Lytechinus pictus: one gene and its partner. The protein of the gene in region 1 purifies or fractionates together with the protein of each later gene. This does not show direct contact. Links are inferred from orthologs where the notes say so. Each region holds a gene or a part of one and is shown on either strand. Other genes may lie near its edges.

What was found. Proteins that work in one complex are often made in the same cells at the same time.
Region 2: the proteins of intraflagellar transport protein 80 homolog (region 1) and intraflagellar transport protein 57 homolog purify together in Homo sapiens (affinity purification with mass spectrometry; 3 studies listed by BioGRID and IntAct, counting the BioPlex papers as one, with this or other methods). This does not show direct contact. The link is inferred for Lytechinus pictus from reciprocal best matches to the Homo sapiens genes IFT80 and IFT57.

What each region holds. Positions count from the first base shown.
Region 1 is NC_087260.1:26,520,760-26,528,912, reverse strand, and holds the start of intraflagellar transport protein 80 homolog, read left to right. Parts: upstream 1-4,786; 5' UTR 4,787-4,874; intron 4,875-8,153. Other genes in the region: uncharacterized protein CXorf58-like, read right to left, coding at 835-965.
Region 2 is NC_087252.1:13,083,624-13,090,946, forward strand, and holds the start of intraflagellar transport protein 57 homolog, read right to left. Parts: upstream 3,333-7,323; 5' UTR 3,231-3,332; intron 736-3,230; 5' UTR 420-735; coding exon 321-419; intron 1-320. UniProt on the Homo sapiens protein: Required for the formation of cilia. Plays an indirect role in sonic hedgehog signaling, cilia being required for all activity of the hedgehog pathway.

The DNA.
Region 1 (8,153 bases):
CATGTCCTTTGGTAATACATTTGTCTACATTTGCCACTCTCTTGAGGGGGATCAGGAAGAGTTCCATATGCACCCCCACTAAAATTGGAAGTAAAAATATGGAGGAAGGTTTAAAATTACTTATCTAGCCCTAATCTACATCATGTAGAACACATATGATGGGAGAGTGGAAATACATGCCAAAATATGGCTCTATTCAAAGTTTCGCGCAGGATTGAGTGCTTGTAATTTTCCACAGACATCGGTTTATCTAGTCAGTAAATGGTCTGAAAGCCTAGACTAGTCAAACTATCAGCTCATAATCGCTAAAATTCCTATTCTGGTATCAGTGCTTCTCGCCAGCATAGCGGGATGAGATCTTGACTGCAGTTACGAGGTGAGTTCGAGTCTCAACTACATTAAGTAACACTAAGAAATCAATAGAGAAATCTGAAGTGAGCGAACTGGAAGTCTTGACAATCTTTTGTTATTTTTGGTGGAGGGTGCATATGGAAATCTTTCCTAAGTACATGTATCTTCATTTGAAGCATGAAAGTTTGCAAAACAAATTGCCCATTAAAAGTTTGTTTATTTGGGTTCAACTTTTAATAATCATAAATAAGGCTTTGTATGGGTAATTTAGGGATGCCAACACTGTACAAAGATTTGCAGTATTTTGAGGGATAAAATAAGGATTTGGGGTAAAAAAGAATATAGCTTTCTCCAAGAGTATGAAATGAATTTGAGAAAAAACATTTTCCATAAAACCTGCAGTATTGTTACCTTATAAAAAATAAAATACTGCAAGAAGGTACAATATGCATCGAGGGAGCTATTAATGTGTACAGAACATACTCTTCATTTTTTTCTGGGACTGCAGCTTGTTTATTTGCCCGTTTCTCAGCTGATCCTGTGACACTGCCGCTGTGTTGACTCGGTAAGGTCACATTAATTGTTGATCGGCTTGAACTCCTGACAGGATCCATTCTGACAAAAGAACAAATAGTATAATACTTCATTTTATTGCATTATTTTCATTTACCTAGTATCCATAAAAATACATGGACAGGACACAGTCTAGAATATACTTGAACTTAATTACAAGGTAACAATTAAACAAATTGTAGATCTACATAATACTAGACAATGGACTATGGAGAACAATTGTGAACATGCATCAATTTATGACACATGCTCAAAAATGCACCCCGGCCTCCTACCCACTGGTCAATGACAATGCTGCAGCAGTACATCACCCAAATGCGAATACACAGTGCCATAATGGGCAAAAGCTAATTTCAACTGACAAAAGAAAAAAAGATATATATGATCATGTAGCAACATAATAAAAAACTTAATAAGAATAACCATATTTTCTGGGGATTTATTTTTTCACAAATTGTCTAGGGGGTGGGCTGACCATACATGCCGTTCCCGTCCCAGAGCTAAGACTAAGTTCTTCTTCTTTCTTCAGGTATACTCTCAGGTATATCGCCCAACACCCCCAAAGTAGGAGCCAAAGGGGCAGGGATGTGGATACAGCTGAGACCTGCAGGTGCAATACACCAGGTGAACACCCTGCTCTTTCACGAATAGTGTATCAGTTTTAACGTGCATTGGTTGTTGCTCTCCTAATACAAGGGACCACCATTTGCGTCCTTTAATTCCGATGGACAGAGTGTTTTACAACTGCATTCACACCTGCACTGAGCTGAATACAGTGGCGAGGCACACTTACACACAATGCTATAACATCAGATTTTTATTATACATGTTTTGGCATGAGCAGGACTCAAACCCCGACGTTGAGATCTACAATGTTATCTAAAACAGACACTCTAACTTAGGACCGAGTTACGCTGCCTCTTGAAGGAGAGCACAGAGTCAGAGACTAAAGCTTTTGTCCATCTTTCCTACTCTCTACTTACATTCCAGGTTTAGTCAAGATTTAAGTTAAGATAAAGTGTCTCCTTTCTTAAATTAATTTCATGCCCTTTTTTTTTTGGGGGGGGGGGGCCTTTCAGCATTTTAAAATGGCTATATAACTTTTTTTTAATGCATGCTCCAGGCTAAAGATATTTATATTTCAATAAATAGAGTAAAATTCACAGAGCAAAATGCCAAAAATTTGATCAAAATCAGATATATATCAAATAAAAATAACCAAGCTATTGAATTTTAAAGATTTGCATTATTCCGGTGAAACAGTTCTAGCCTCTAGGCATGTCTTCATGAATATTAATTAGTTGGGCTGATGATGTCATATCCCCACTTGTTCTTTTGTATTTTATTATATAAAATTAGGTTTATTCAAAAACTTTTCAAGCAAGAACTAAAACAATTGGAAAACAATTGACAGCTGATTAAGTGCATTAATTACATGTAGTTATTTATTGCTGCAACTTATTTCATTATATAAATGGAGACAAATCATTTTCACACGTATGAAAAAGTATGAAACAATTATGATTTCATCTAATAACATAAAAAAAAGAAATGTGGGGATGTGACATCATCAGCCCAGCTAATGAATATTCATGACGACATGCATATAACTGTTTTCACAAAATATTGCTAAACTTTAAAATTCAATAAAACTATAATATTCTAAATTATTCTAAATTCTAATTATAAATTATATCATATAAATTATTATAGGCCTAAATTCTAAATTCTAGATCTAATTATAAATTATTATTCTAAATTATAAAATTAAAACAATTCTATAACTTGTTTGTTATCCAATTTTGATAAAGCATTTTGCTCTGTGAAGTTTACTCTACAGCTGAGCGCTACAGTTGAGTATGAACGTGCCAGTCATTCCGCTGGCACGTCCGTACGCTCAGCTGTCGCCGACGGCGATCAAGCGATTGCAAAATCGAACCCTTTTCTCCATAGAAGCTGTAGTTAAGGCGTCAGTATAGCTCCACCACTACAAGCCCGTGTATTGACGGAGCGAAGGGGGTGCCGCGCGGAGCCAGATGAAGTCTCAGCAGAGCATATCCCTAAATTCAAATAGCCCTAACGTTAGCGTTAATACAGGTAAAGTTAGATCTCTAACATTAGGCCTATTTATTGGTCTACTACTTGACAATTAAAGCATAACACCCGAAATTTAGAATCTTTTGAAGTAATGTTAATGTTATTTACAAAAAGATAAGCTCAGTTTTTGTTGAACTTCAAATAGTGTTTTTTTTTTCTCCCTCAGTTTCAATCTCGCTGTCGACTCAAGATTTAAAATGGAATATGTCATGTAGTTTGTCACATTTACAGACAGCTGGCACTGGCAGCCATCTGTTTTTAGGAATTTTTAAACATTTTTTAAATTTTTTATTTCTCCTTGTACACAGAGAGAAGCCAACGGAGTTCAGCGGTGTGTGTGTATTTGAGTTTTGTCAGACGTGTATCAATCAGATACGATTATTTAAAAGTTTAAGTTTCACAAATAACATCACCATCCGAAACTCGAAAGACGTGACCAGGGCTCGAACCTCTGGCTCTGCATCAATTTGTAACTTCCCCACATAGCTTGGATTACAGGCGCATGCCACAACGCCCCAACACAAAGCTTTTATTAAAGTTAAAATTAAAGTTAAATCCCATAGGCCCTATGCCAGAACACAAATATATAAAAAAACATTCTTTCCTGATGCTATCAGAATATGGAACTCACTCCCAGCAAAGATAGTTCACAGCACCTCCCTCGCGTCTTTCAAGCAGGAGGTGCAGCAAAGGAGGCTTCGACCTTCGTTAAGGCCTCTTCTGTTTTTAGCCGCACATAGATCTATCTGTAGAGATTTTTACTCGCACTATTCATCTGGGCACTTGACAAGCACGAGCACGATAATGTGCCAACGGCAGTCTGTACTTTACAAGAAGAAGAAGAACTTTTGGTCTAGATCTAACGTTAGATCTAGTCACATTTCGATCTGTTGTAAGACCCAGTTGTTGTGTGTCCGGACGATCAATTTTAGAAAGTCATTTGGAAAATTTACAAGCGAAGTTTCATCCATTTTTAGTACAAAATGTTAGGAAATATTATTTATAAATATAAAGAACAACATAGAAGATGATTACAAGTTTTTTTTACAACTATTAAATTTATATTTTAGTGTAATCCAAAGACAAAAAAGAAGGCTTCAAAAATATAATTGTCCGGACACCCGACCCCCTACTGATACTGATACTATTACTAGTATTACTAGTGTCGATTGTAATGTCAGAAATGATATTGTCTATTGTTGATAAATGACAATTAATTGACTTGTCAAAATCAAATGATCGACTTCTTTATAAATATAAATAATGTCTGATTACCTTAATCACAGACTCGGTAACATTCCCAACTTGAGAATCTTAATAAAATTATGAGTCAAACAGACAGGAACTCGGGAAATGAAGGAAAACAACTGTATTTTTCCAGTAGATGCGGTATAAAGGTATAAAGGTATAAAGGTATAAAAACACACCGCCGCGGCCGCTGAACTGCCCTTGCCTTGATCTGTTTTCATCGGCCGGGTGTTTAGAATCGAATCGCGTGTCGCTGAAGCTCCCCGCTGCTCCACATTCAATTCCCGCTGAGTCCCTCCAATTCGGGGCGCACAACTCGACCGAATCTTGTTGATATGTCAAGCTTTGCAATGTATTAAGTTTTAGGATCATTTATATTGTTCACATTTTCATTATTGAGACAGGATAAATATAAAATAATTCTATTTAATAGAAATAAAATATTAAAATGCGTGAAATATTCGAATAATTTCCCAAAAACATTTTTTTTAATGAAATATAAAAAATATTTATTTATACTACACATGCGCAGTTAATACATTCCATTTTCTGCTTCACTTTCGCCGTTTCTTGGGACGCTGTTTAATCTTTCCCACATAGAAACGGTAAGTTTAAAAGGTCTTTCTATATATTATTCGATTTGTATTGTTTTAAAATAATATTATAAATGTAAAATGATTGAGTTTTCGTTTAAAATGATATAGTTTGCTAAATTTATATCGATTAGATTTGAAGTTTGCCAGATCCGTATCTATCCAATACAGCCTAGTACAGTCCCATTTGCTTATTTTGGTGTATGGCGTATGACTGATAACTTTGCAATTGAAAAGGCAAATAGATCTACCAAAGGCAATAAGGCAATAGATCTATTTGTAACTTGAACCCAAGCTAGATCTGAAAGAAAGAACAAATTGATTGCGAGAAGAAAAAAGGAGGAGGAAGAGTAACATTTTCTAACAAGCAGCATTGCCATAGCTTACTGCGGCAGCCCGAACACGTACTGTGTTCGGGCTGCGTTGTGATTCACCCCGGCTCACCAGATCAAATCAGATGAGCATCGGGAATCAATCAAAAATACATAAAATTGCACAAAACTGTTACAAAGGAATCAATACATACTTACAACTTAAGCCGCAATATGGGCGGCCCTCAAAACTTCGAAATAATTCCCCAAAACGAAGCAAAAACGTCGGAAAATTTTGCCGGTGTGCATTAAAACTCGTTCGTACAGGAAGCAATGGAGGATTGATATAGCCTTTTGACGAGGCAACGAGATAAATTGATTTTTATTACCAAACGGGCAAAAAACAAAAAACAAATGATAAAAGAGAAAAAATACTTTAAAAATAAAATAATAATTGAATATCAGTAAGTAAGTAATTTCAGTAAGTTCTTATTATCATCAGATCCTGCCAATACCACTCTAGGCGACACCCCAATACTTACCCGTGCTAATAAACTGGGACTCCACTCACGCGCATTTGGGCCGCCCTAGCTTAGAACTAAGCTTTGTTTTACTAAAAAATAAATCTTGTAATGATTCAATAAATGTTACTTAATAAATTAGTACTGTTAAATCGGTACTCACCGGTTCTTTTCTTGAATTTTCTGGCAATTTCTCACGCTTCTGGCTTCAATTCTGCGGCTGTTCCTGTCGCGGTAGACAGCTACATATGCAACTTTATTTATAAATAGAGCGCCCCTTATGATAGTTGTTAAGAACGCGGCCAAATTGTTAGGTTTTTTGCACTGTGTCCAAGGCGTTTTTATTTTGTTTGATTTTTTATTTTTAATAAATATTTTGTTAAATAGCGATTTTTACGTCAAATATTAAATTAATATCACAAAATATTTTTAATTGTAGAAATATATATAATATCATGCAATTATTCATTCTATATATATTTTATAATAAAATTTATAATTGTTGCGGTCTTTAAAAAAGGATAGTCGATTGATCAGGTGATGACCACACGTATCACGTGATCTGAAAATCAGCTTCATACCGCTTTGATCGCACTCGACGGTGACCGGACTGACTGCCAAAAAAAGATCGAAAAATTACTCAAATGTAAGTTTCCCTTTATTTTATTAAATTCAAATTAGGAATAGGAATATATGTAATGGGCAATCTTTTAATAAATGATAAACAAACGAGGACAAAACTCATATTTTGGGAGTAATATCATACTTGGGTGCAGGAAACAGTACGTTTAGAAGTTCTAACCTGTTTTTAACGCATTGTCGCCTATGAGGTCCATACATGTTAATGTTTGGACCTCATTGGTACTAGGAGTGGCCAATACCACTAAAGTCCATATAGATAATACAACAGAATGCCCCGACAAAAGGCTATCATTTGATGCGTCGGATAGAGATTGTTATGAATATTCATATTCATATTCATATTCATAATAGTTCCGTAAATTCTTGCTTCACACCCTTTGCCTGGCAACTATTTTAGCTTCGGCTTTTTCTTTGAAAGAAGTAACATATTTTCGTTTGAATTATTTGTTTTTCTTTCTCCTCCATTCTTTTCTTTTGTTCTGTTTTATTTTATTTTCCCCCTTTTTTATTTTTATTTTTATTTTTTCCTCTACCTTTTTTTTCTTTTTGGGGTCTGTTTTCTTTTTCTTTCTTCCCTTTTTTTAAATTCTTCTCTGTATTTGCTCTTTTTTCTTTTTTCCTTTTTTTCTTCGTCATTTTTTTTTTTTGTCTTTATTCTCTTTGTTCTTGTTTCTTCATTGTTTTCAAGAGATTATGCACATGGTATCGTACTACACGTTTTTTTATTATTATTATTATTATTGGAAACTGTATAGATATATGTAAATAAAAAAGTGAAGAAATAAATGAACACTCATATATTAAAGGAATATATTCGTTGATCAAAATTATTGAGTGATCAGCAAACCATCTCTTTAAGATTTTGGTGCCTATTTCTGGAACCCAGCCTCTGACAGGGCTTTGCTGGCTTAGCCTAGAGGACTCCGTGATGCAAAATGATTTTAAAAATATCACGGAATCCAATGCTGGCTCCCACATATTTTTTTTTCTCTCTCTCACTTGTTATATTTTCCATTTTGTTTATTTTGTATACTGTGCATGTATCCTTAGTTTTAATTTCAATTGTATGTTGTATGTTTTAATGAGAATTTAAAATAAATGAAATGAAAATATATGCAAATCTCATTATCATCCAACAACCATTTTCATACAATTGATGCCTATTAATTTGAATTATGTTTGAATGGAGATGTGATTATAATTCATATGTTTGTTTATGAATTAATATGTTATCTTTCTTGTTGGCATTTTTAAGCTTCAATAATTGGGTATATAAATCTCTGCGGGATAAGTATAAGCCTATAATTACTAAGAATTGAGTTGCTCATTATAGGACGCATAAAGTCGCCGCAAAACCTGCTTGTCTGATTGTTTTCCAGGTGTCCAAAAGGGTTTTTTCCTAAAGACATGCCATTCTTTATATTGTTTTTGCTTAAGAATTAATGAAAATCATGGTGACGCTAAATCAGCTTATATACTTCTAATACCATTGGTGGCGGAAGCCAAAAAAATCAGGGGGTCCACCTGAAATTGAAATTTTGGGAAAGACACCTGTAGGTAAACAAATTTGACAAGCAAAAAAAAAAAGTTTTTCAACCAAAAATTGAGGATATTTCGTCCCCCCAAAAAAAATCGAGAATTCCCCCCCCCCCAGAAAAAAGGTCTTCACTGTCAAATGGGAGGGGGCACAGTTCGGTTTTAAGACCATTTTTACAATACAAATTTAAATTCATTTTGTTCTCAAGGGTGGGGGCACCAGCCGGCTTTGCCACCCACCCACCCCCCCCCCCTGGATCCGGCAGTGAGTTCAATGTTTT
Region 2 (7,323 bases), on another chromosome or scaffold:
TAATAAATTTGTGGCTTTAGTGTTTATATAAACGGGTATTTACTTTCACTGTATATATTTCTTATAAATGTAATACTATTAATGGTTTTACATGTTTAATATGGCTTTTTTTATGTTTATTGACTTGGAAGTTGTGAACAAAACAAATTTCCAATAAAGACGAACTTGAACTTGAATCCAAGATCAGTCTAAACCTGGGATGAAAATGGTTTAATTAAACTTGGTTTCACAGAGCTTCTTTATATGAAATCAATGTTTGCTGCAACCATGACTGCAGCTACTTTCGTTTATCTTTAATATAGACAAAGTATTACACGTACCTTTAGTTTATCAAGTAGGTCTTCCATGATGATGTAATGCTGATACATCTGGCCTGGCCCGATCTCACTGCTGTCATCTCTTCCTTTCTCTTCCCCCATCTTGATTAAGAGTCTCTTGGGATACTATATCCCTGGGTTCTTGTATGGACACTGACTTCTTACACCAGTATCCCCAGTGTCCAAAAATTGCTTATAGAGGCTGTTCAGTGTAACCTCTCAGAATCAAACTTTCAGTTAAAATTTGATGGTAATTGTAAAGAAAAAAATTTCAAAAAATTGTATGAAGATCATACAACTGGGTATCTTTCAGCTTACAAGCTGTTGTGATGCCACTTCATATGAAAAAAATGTCTGTTGATGATAATGGACGACACAGTGGATTCCTATGACATTGCTCTTCTCCCAGAGTAGGATGCTGCAACAGAAAGAGATATAATTGATAGTTAAATAATAATATTCTGCATTTATATAGCTTTTAACACATCGGAACGATGTTTCTAAGCGCTTTACAGATATATTATTACCCCGGTCATCGCATCCTTGCATGCCCGCATACAATGTATGCACCTTCTCCGCTCCTTGGGGAGCATTCCAACAAGAGTTCCCAGACTCAATTGCTAGGCATACTGCATAGTTTCATAATATATGTGCCACCAATATTCATTATCTATCTTACATGTGCGTAAACAAATTTTACCTGACACACGCAAATAAAATGCAAGGGTCAGGAGTGACAATTTGAAGAAAAAAAATTATTGAACAGAAAAATTAGTCCGAATTAGAGAATACGGATTAAGTAGCACAAGTTAGAACGGAGGAAAACTGTAGTGTTGACTCTTGACAGTTCTGTCACATCTAATCATTTCACAGAATTTTGACAGAGCCTTTATAATACTTAGCCAGCAAAATTCAGGTAAAGTCAATCTTTACATTCATATGCTATTCCACGTTTGTTAGCATACATGTACACACTTCTGACAGTCCTTTCTCGTGTTAAGTACTGGTATATCTATATATTTTGTTTTAATACCATGGATACTGTACTACCACCAGAGGAGATACTCGTGTTAAGTATCGGTATATCTATATATTTTGTTTTAATACCATGGATACTGTACTACCACCAGAGGAGATACTACGATCGATGAACAGGCACTCAACTCAAGCCTACAGCATCATGGACTTAAAGTAAAGTAATAATCAAAACAATGATTGCAGGCATTAACAGAAAGACAAGAAAAGACTAACAGTACTGTCTGGCCAAACGTCTTTCATTTTGAAGCCAACCAAGGCCCTATTTAGTATTGCATGGAAGTTACAATTGAAGTTAACTTTGCTGTCTAGTCAGTGATTTTAATTGTAACATCCACGGAATCCTTGACATTTACTGGCCATTGAGCACATGACAGCAAAAACATTTTATGAATCTCTTTTAATGAAGCAGACCCCTGCACATGTCAATGGAATGCATGTACGAAGACGAAGTGATCCATTTTTTGACCTTGACTCAGTCAATTGAAACACTGCATGAGCATGGTTTCATCTGTCTCACTGAGCTTGACTGTCTTGACTTGAGTCAGTGGACAGTGAGTGATTGATAATGAAAAACTAACATTGTAAAAAAACTCAAAATAATTTTTTTTTTTGTCTTTTTTAAAAATAGACCTAGATTCTAGGCCTAATTCTAACTGCGCGAAGCTTCAGTCTCCCTGTACGCCGCTAGCTGCGGCCAGCCGTGCCAGCAGGCGCTGCAGAGCCGCCAGAGAGGAGCGCTCACCGAACACGGCCAATATGGGAGACTGTCTCCCATGAGAGAGATTATTTCCAATATTAGAGACTTTTGTAAATTTGGGTATCCAATTTCAGAGAGTCTCCAGTTTGGGAGACCAATTTCCTTTGCTTACATTTGCTGCAAAAGGATTAGCTTGGCAGCAAATAAAAATGTGATGAGCAGATTCCTCATGAAAAATTACCCCTTTTCAACGTCTACTTTGAAAATTCACCATCTACTTTTGTTTTGATAAGGATTTTTGTTGTCATCCACACACAAAACAAATGGGCTTCTGACCTCAGTGAGGCAAAATTTTGGGTGGAAAAAAAATCTGCTTTTGTTGGTGTTGTTTCTTTTGTTCTTTTGCAAAGCAAGTCTCCAATATGGGAGATTGTCTTCCATATTGGAGAGAGTCTCCCATATTGGCCATGCGCCTCTACTGACAAGTGACAGTGCTAGCTAGTGCTAGTCACGTCCACAACAAATCATTAAATGATGACATTGACAAGAGAAAGACAGAGATGGGATGGTGTAAAACTAAAAGTGAGTTTTATTTCATTCTTTTAACAAGTCCATGTTTCAAACATGTCGCACATTCATTGTATTTAGTCGAACAATAGTTAGATCTAGTAAAACGTTAGATCTATTTGATTTTGAGTATTTCATCAACTCAATCAAGTTCTAATTCTATCTTATCAATATGATATCAAGACAAGTTTCTGAGTCTGACTAGTCTGAGAGACTCTGTCAGTCTGTGTTCGTGTATAAACCGCAACCCCCATAGATGATTCCCCGACTAAAAAAGGTGCGGTTTATATTCCGGAAAACACGGTAAGTCTAAAGTCGGTGTCTGCAGTGCAGGAACGGGTCCAAGAAGGCAAGACATAGAGCTCCTCCGTCGCCGCTTACCGGCGGAGCTCGGAGCGGCAGCTTATTTGGTTACCCGCCCGGCCGGCGGCTGCCCCTACCGGAGCGGCACTGCCACTGGCGCTGCGCTCGCTGCAACTAGTGCAGCTGCTTTGGCTTTGCATTGCAGCTCAATTCCATATTCAAATCCCTTACACTTTAGTAGAAACATACGCTGTGAAAAAGAGGCTGGTAGACTTTGAAAAAATATATACATTTAGGGTATATCTTACCTCAACAACAGTGTCTCAAAGTGTTTAATGGTACCGATATATCGAACATTTCACAAAAATAACTTCACCGCGTCCATATCGTCAGGGAAATATTTGACCTTTGACCGAAGCGCAAGCCTAGGTGGTGAAGATGCGATGATATACAGTGCAGTCGTTTTTGTTTTCACTAATAATCACACCAATTATTACTTGGGAAATATCTCACTTTTCGGGTAGAAAATGATCAAGTTATATTTTATGTTATTATTTATTGTTATTAAGTATTATGTTACACTTTCATGGTATTACAATTTGCCAGAATATAAAGTATTTGAAATAATGCACTTAAAAGTATCTGTTTTATGAGACTATACCATCACATCTTCTTCTTATGTTGGTTTGAGTGGCGATTAGTCATATTTGACTATTGTCGCCAACTATATAATCATTGAGATACTAGTAATATATACTGTGGAGTATCTCTATGATACCATCTTTCGACCTCCATGATGATACTATAATATATCTCTATATGTACCATCATGACTACCAATTAAGGCATCCGAAAAGATTGAACCAAAAGAAGAAAAACAAGGTATAGCTTGTTGGCTGTGAGCAATATGAAAGTGTGTACTGGAGACGTGATAATAACGGATATAGGGAAAGTTTATGCGTCACCCACCAAAAAGGCATTTAAAAAAACAATCAAACAAAAATATGGATTGAAAATTCATGAATTTAAATTTTTAGCTGTATTTATTTTATTAATCATTCTTTTAATGCCTCTTTGTTTCGTCTCTGTTTTCAATGTGTTTCTATCTGTTTCTAGCTGTGCCACAATCAATGACCCCCCCCCCCCCCCCCGGGCGCAGCCAAGGAAGATTACTGGCCCTGGGAAGCGGGGATGCTGCGTGTCATAGGCAGCACCCCTTTCGAATTTCGTTAGGTCTGCAAATTTTGAGAAATGTACTAAAAATGCCAATTTTTTTTTTTTTAACCTATAGCTCCCCCACCCCTTTTTTTTTTACTCGTCAAAAATTGCTCCAGCACCCCCACCCCAAAATCGTTCCCAGGGCCCTGCATTTTCCCTGGATGGAGATCATGTATTACACCCGTCATATTTTTTTTATGTGAGGGTTATTATTCAGTTTTGTCATACATTTTAGAATGAAATTCATTAATGAAATAAGAAGTGGGGGGGGGCTATACATGTATGCGTCAAAACTACCCTTTTTTGTAATCTTAATATTTTTTTTATTCGTTGTTATGTATCTCAACACATGATGGCAATATTTTTTTTGTCTCGGGTCCAAAAGAAAAAGGTGCCGGTCAAAATCCAAAATGGCCGCCAATCCACGCCCCCCCCCCCCCCCCAAAAAAAAAAAAGTCACAGACGTTTTGGCCACAACTTCTTTATTTGGTGGTCTTTTTCTGAACTGCTTTTTGTGTCTATTCGTATATGTTTAAGGGGGGAGGCAATTTGTTTTTCCCCAAAATTAGTACTTTTAAACCATTATTTGTATAGAGTTAAAATGTGATATTACCTAAATTTACAAAAAATAGCTTTTTTTCGGTTTAGAGTGAAATGGATCTAATAAAAGTAATGATAATAAACAATTAATAGAGGATAATATTCATTAGAAAAAAATATATGGTGAAAACTATACTTTTTCCATGTTATACACAATTTCAATACAACAAACTTAAGCATGAGGACTACCAGTAAGGATCTCTCATAGCATTGACGATAGGCCTACTATCTGTTTAATAAATTAATACGTTCTGTTTTACTGAATTACTGGCTTCCCAATAAGGAAACTATGGTCTATTACGCCTAAAAACCCCAGAAAAACGTTGATTCAATAGAGAAAAAAACAAGCATAACGCTGAAAATTTCATCAACATCGGATATAAAAAAGGGAATTATTACATTTTAAAATTTTGCTTATTTTTCACAAAACAGTCATAATCATGCAGAACTCAGGGACATGCAAAATGAGAGAGTCGATGATGTCCATCCCGTGTACTCCATCAATCACTATTTCTTTAGTTTTTTTATTGTTTGAATTATATGATATTTCAATTTTCACCAATTTTCCATTAAGGACCAACTTAACTGAGTCATAATGAAATGCTATATAATGAAATAATTAAAATATTCATAATTCATATAGGCCTCATTACATACAAAAGAAATACGATGAGAGAGTGATGTTATCAGTCTCCTCATTTGCATCCAAAACGGCAAGTAGGTTTGTTTTGTGAAATTAGTCGAAATTTCAAATGTCATAATTTCCTTATTTACATCCGATTTTGCTGAAATTTTCAGTGTTATGCTTGTTGGATTCTTCTATTTTTATTTAACTCAACTTTTAGTTGGGGTGGAGTTGTCCTTAACTCGTCTGAGACCATTTCATAAAATTTGATAAGATAGCAATTCTTGCTGGAATGTCAGATTTCATTAGAATCACGAAGCAGAATTTTCACTGTTGTCATGGTAGTTGACACTCACAGTAAAACACTGTTTAAGATTTCATACAACGCTGTTTGCTACATGAACCTTACAGTATCTGTTTAACCGTTTAAACATTTTAATTTATTGAAAATTAGATATTGAAAATTAAATTTTGTTGCTTAAGATTTAAACACTTGTTAAAACTGTTTAAACAATTACTGTAAGGTTCATATAGTAACCAGCGTTTTATATATTTTGTTACTGTGATACATAGGCGGATCCAGGAGGCCCGAGGGGCCCGCCCCCCCCCCCCTATTGGCGGAGCAAAGAAAAAAGAAAAAGGGAAAAGAGAGGGGAAGAAAGAAAATGAAAGAAAAAGAGGGGAGGAAAAAAAGAAGAGGAAGACCATGAAGACAAGTGAGGGAAAGACATGGAAAAAAAATCTTTCATATCATTATATGAAATTTTCGCTCGCGCTTCGCGCTCGCATTATATGTTCGATTAGATACATATCTTGCTCAATAGACTGATATGGAGCTTAAAATGTCAAGTTTTTAAGTCATTATACCAAAACAAAACAATCAACTTTGAGCGGCCGATCGGGGAAAATATGGGTGAACAAAAATTTCGCCCCCCCCCCTCTCCCTATATTGGCGAAAGCTGGATCCGCCCCTGACTCTATCAAGAGTTACTATCTTCTCAACTGTTCAAGGTCTATTATTATTATAGGGATTATGGTTTCGGTCGTTTCGGTGATATGGGCATGATATTGTTTCTGCCTCAAGAGGGCGCAAGCCGCAACACTACAAGGCCCTATAGAATCGACATTTTCTCTTTTATCCTGCATTCAAAGAAATGGAAATGCTGTTGTGCACTTGTTGTTTTTTATTATTTTTTAAAGTTTACCGAGAAACTATTTTCCCCATTAACCCATCTACCATTTTTGACAATCATATGGAGTGTTCACCGCCACTTGCCACAGGGCCCTGGGGACGATTTTTAGTGGGGGTGCTGAAGTGAATTTGACAAGCAAAAGAAAACACACAGGGTTTTCATTACGAAATGTGGGTGGTTTCGGTCCAGAGAAATGTGACAAGCAAAAAAAGAAAGAAAGAAAGAAATTAAAAGGGGTGGCTTTCCTACAAAATGCATTTTTATTACATTTCTGCCATTATAAGGTTATGCCTATCGGATTTCCAAGGGTGCTGCTCATGGAAGATAGCACACCCAGCACCCCCAAGAGTGCTTCACCACCAGCACACCCGCTTCCCAGGGCCATGACTTCCCCCCCCCCCCCCTTGTGTGACGACGTCCCTGCTTTGGTGTTTGCGGGTGGTTTCCTTTTTTCTGTCTGTCTGTCTGTCTTTCTTTCTTTTCATTAGGGTGTTTATAGCCAAAATATATAAAATAATAGGAGCAACGTTGAACAGTCACTCAATATAAACCATATAAATATATATAAATATTGGTTAATGTGGTTTTATGGAAATTTACCCACTTTTTTAAGTCATAGGCGGATCCAGGGGGCCGAGGGGCCCCTACCCCCCCCCCTTATTATGGAGCAAAAAAATATTTAAAAAAAGGGGGAAATAAAGAAAAAAAGAGGGACAAGAATGGGAAAAAAAAGGAAGAGGATGAAGACGAGTAAATAAAATAAGA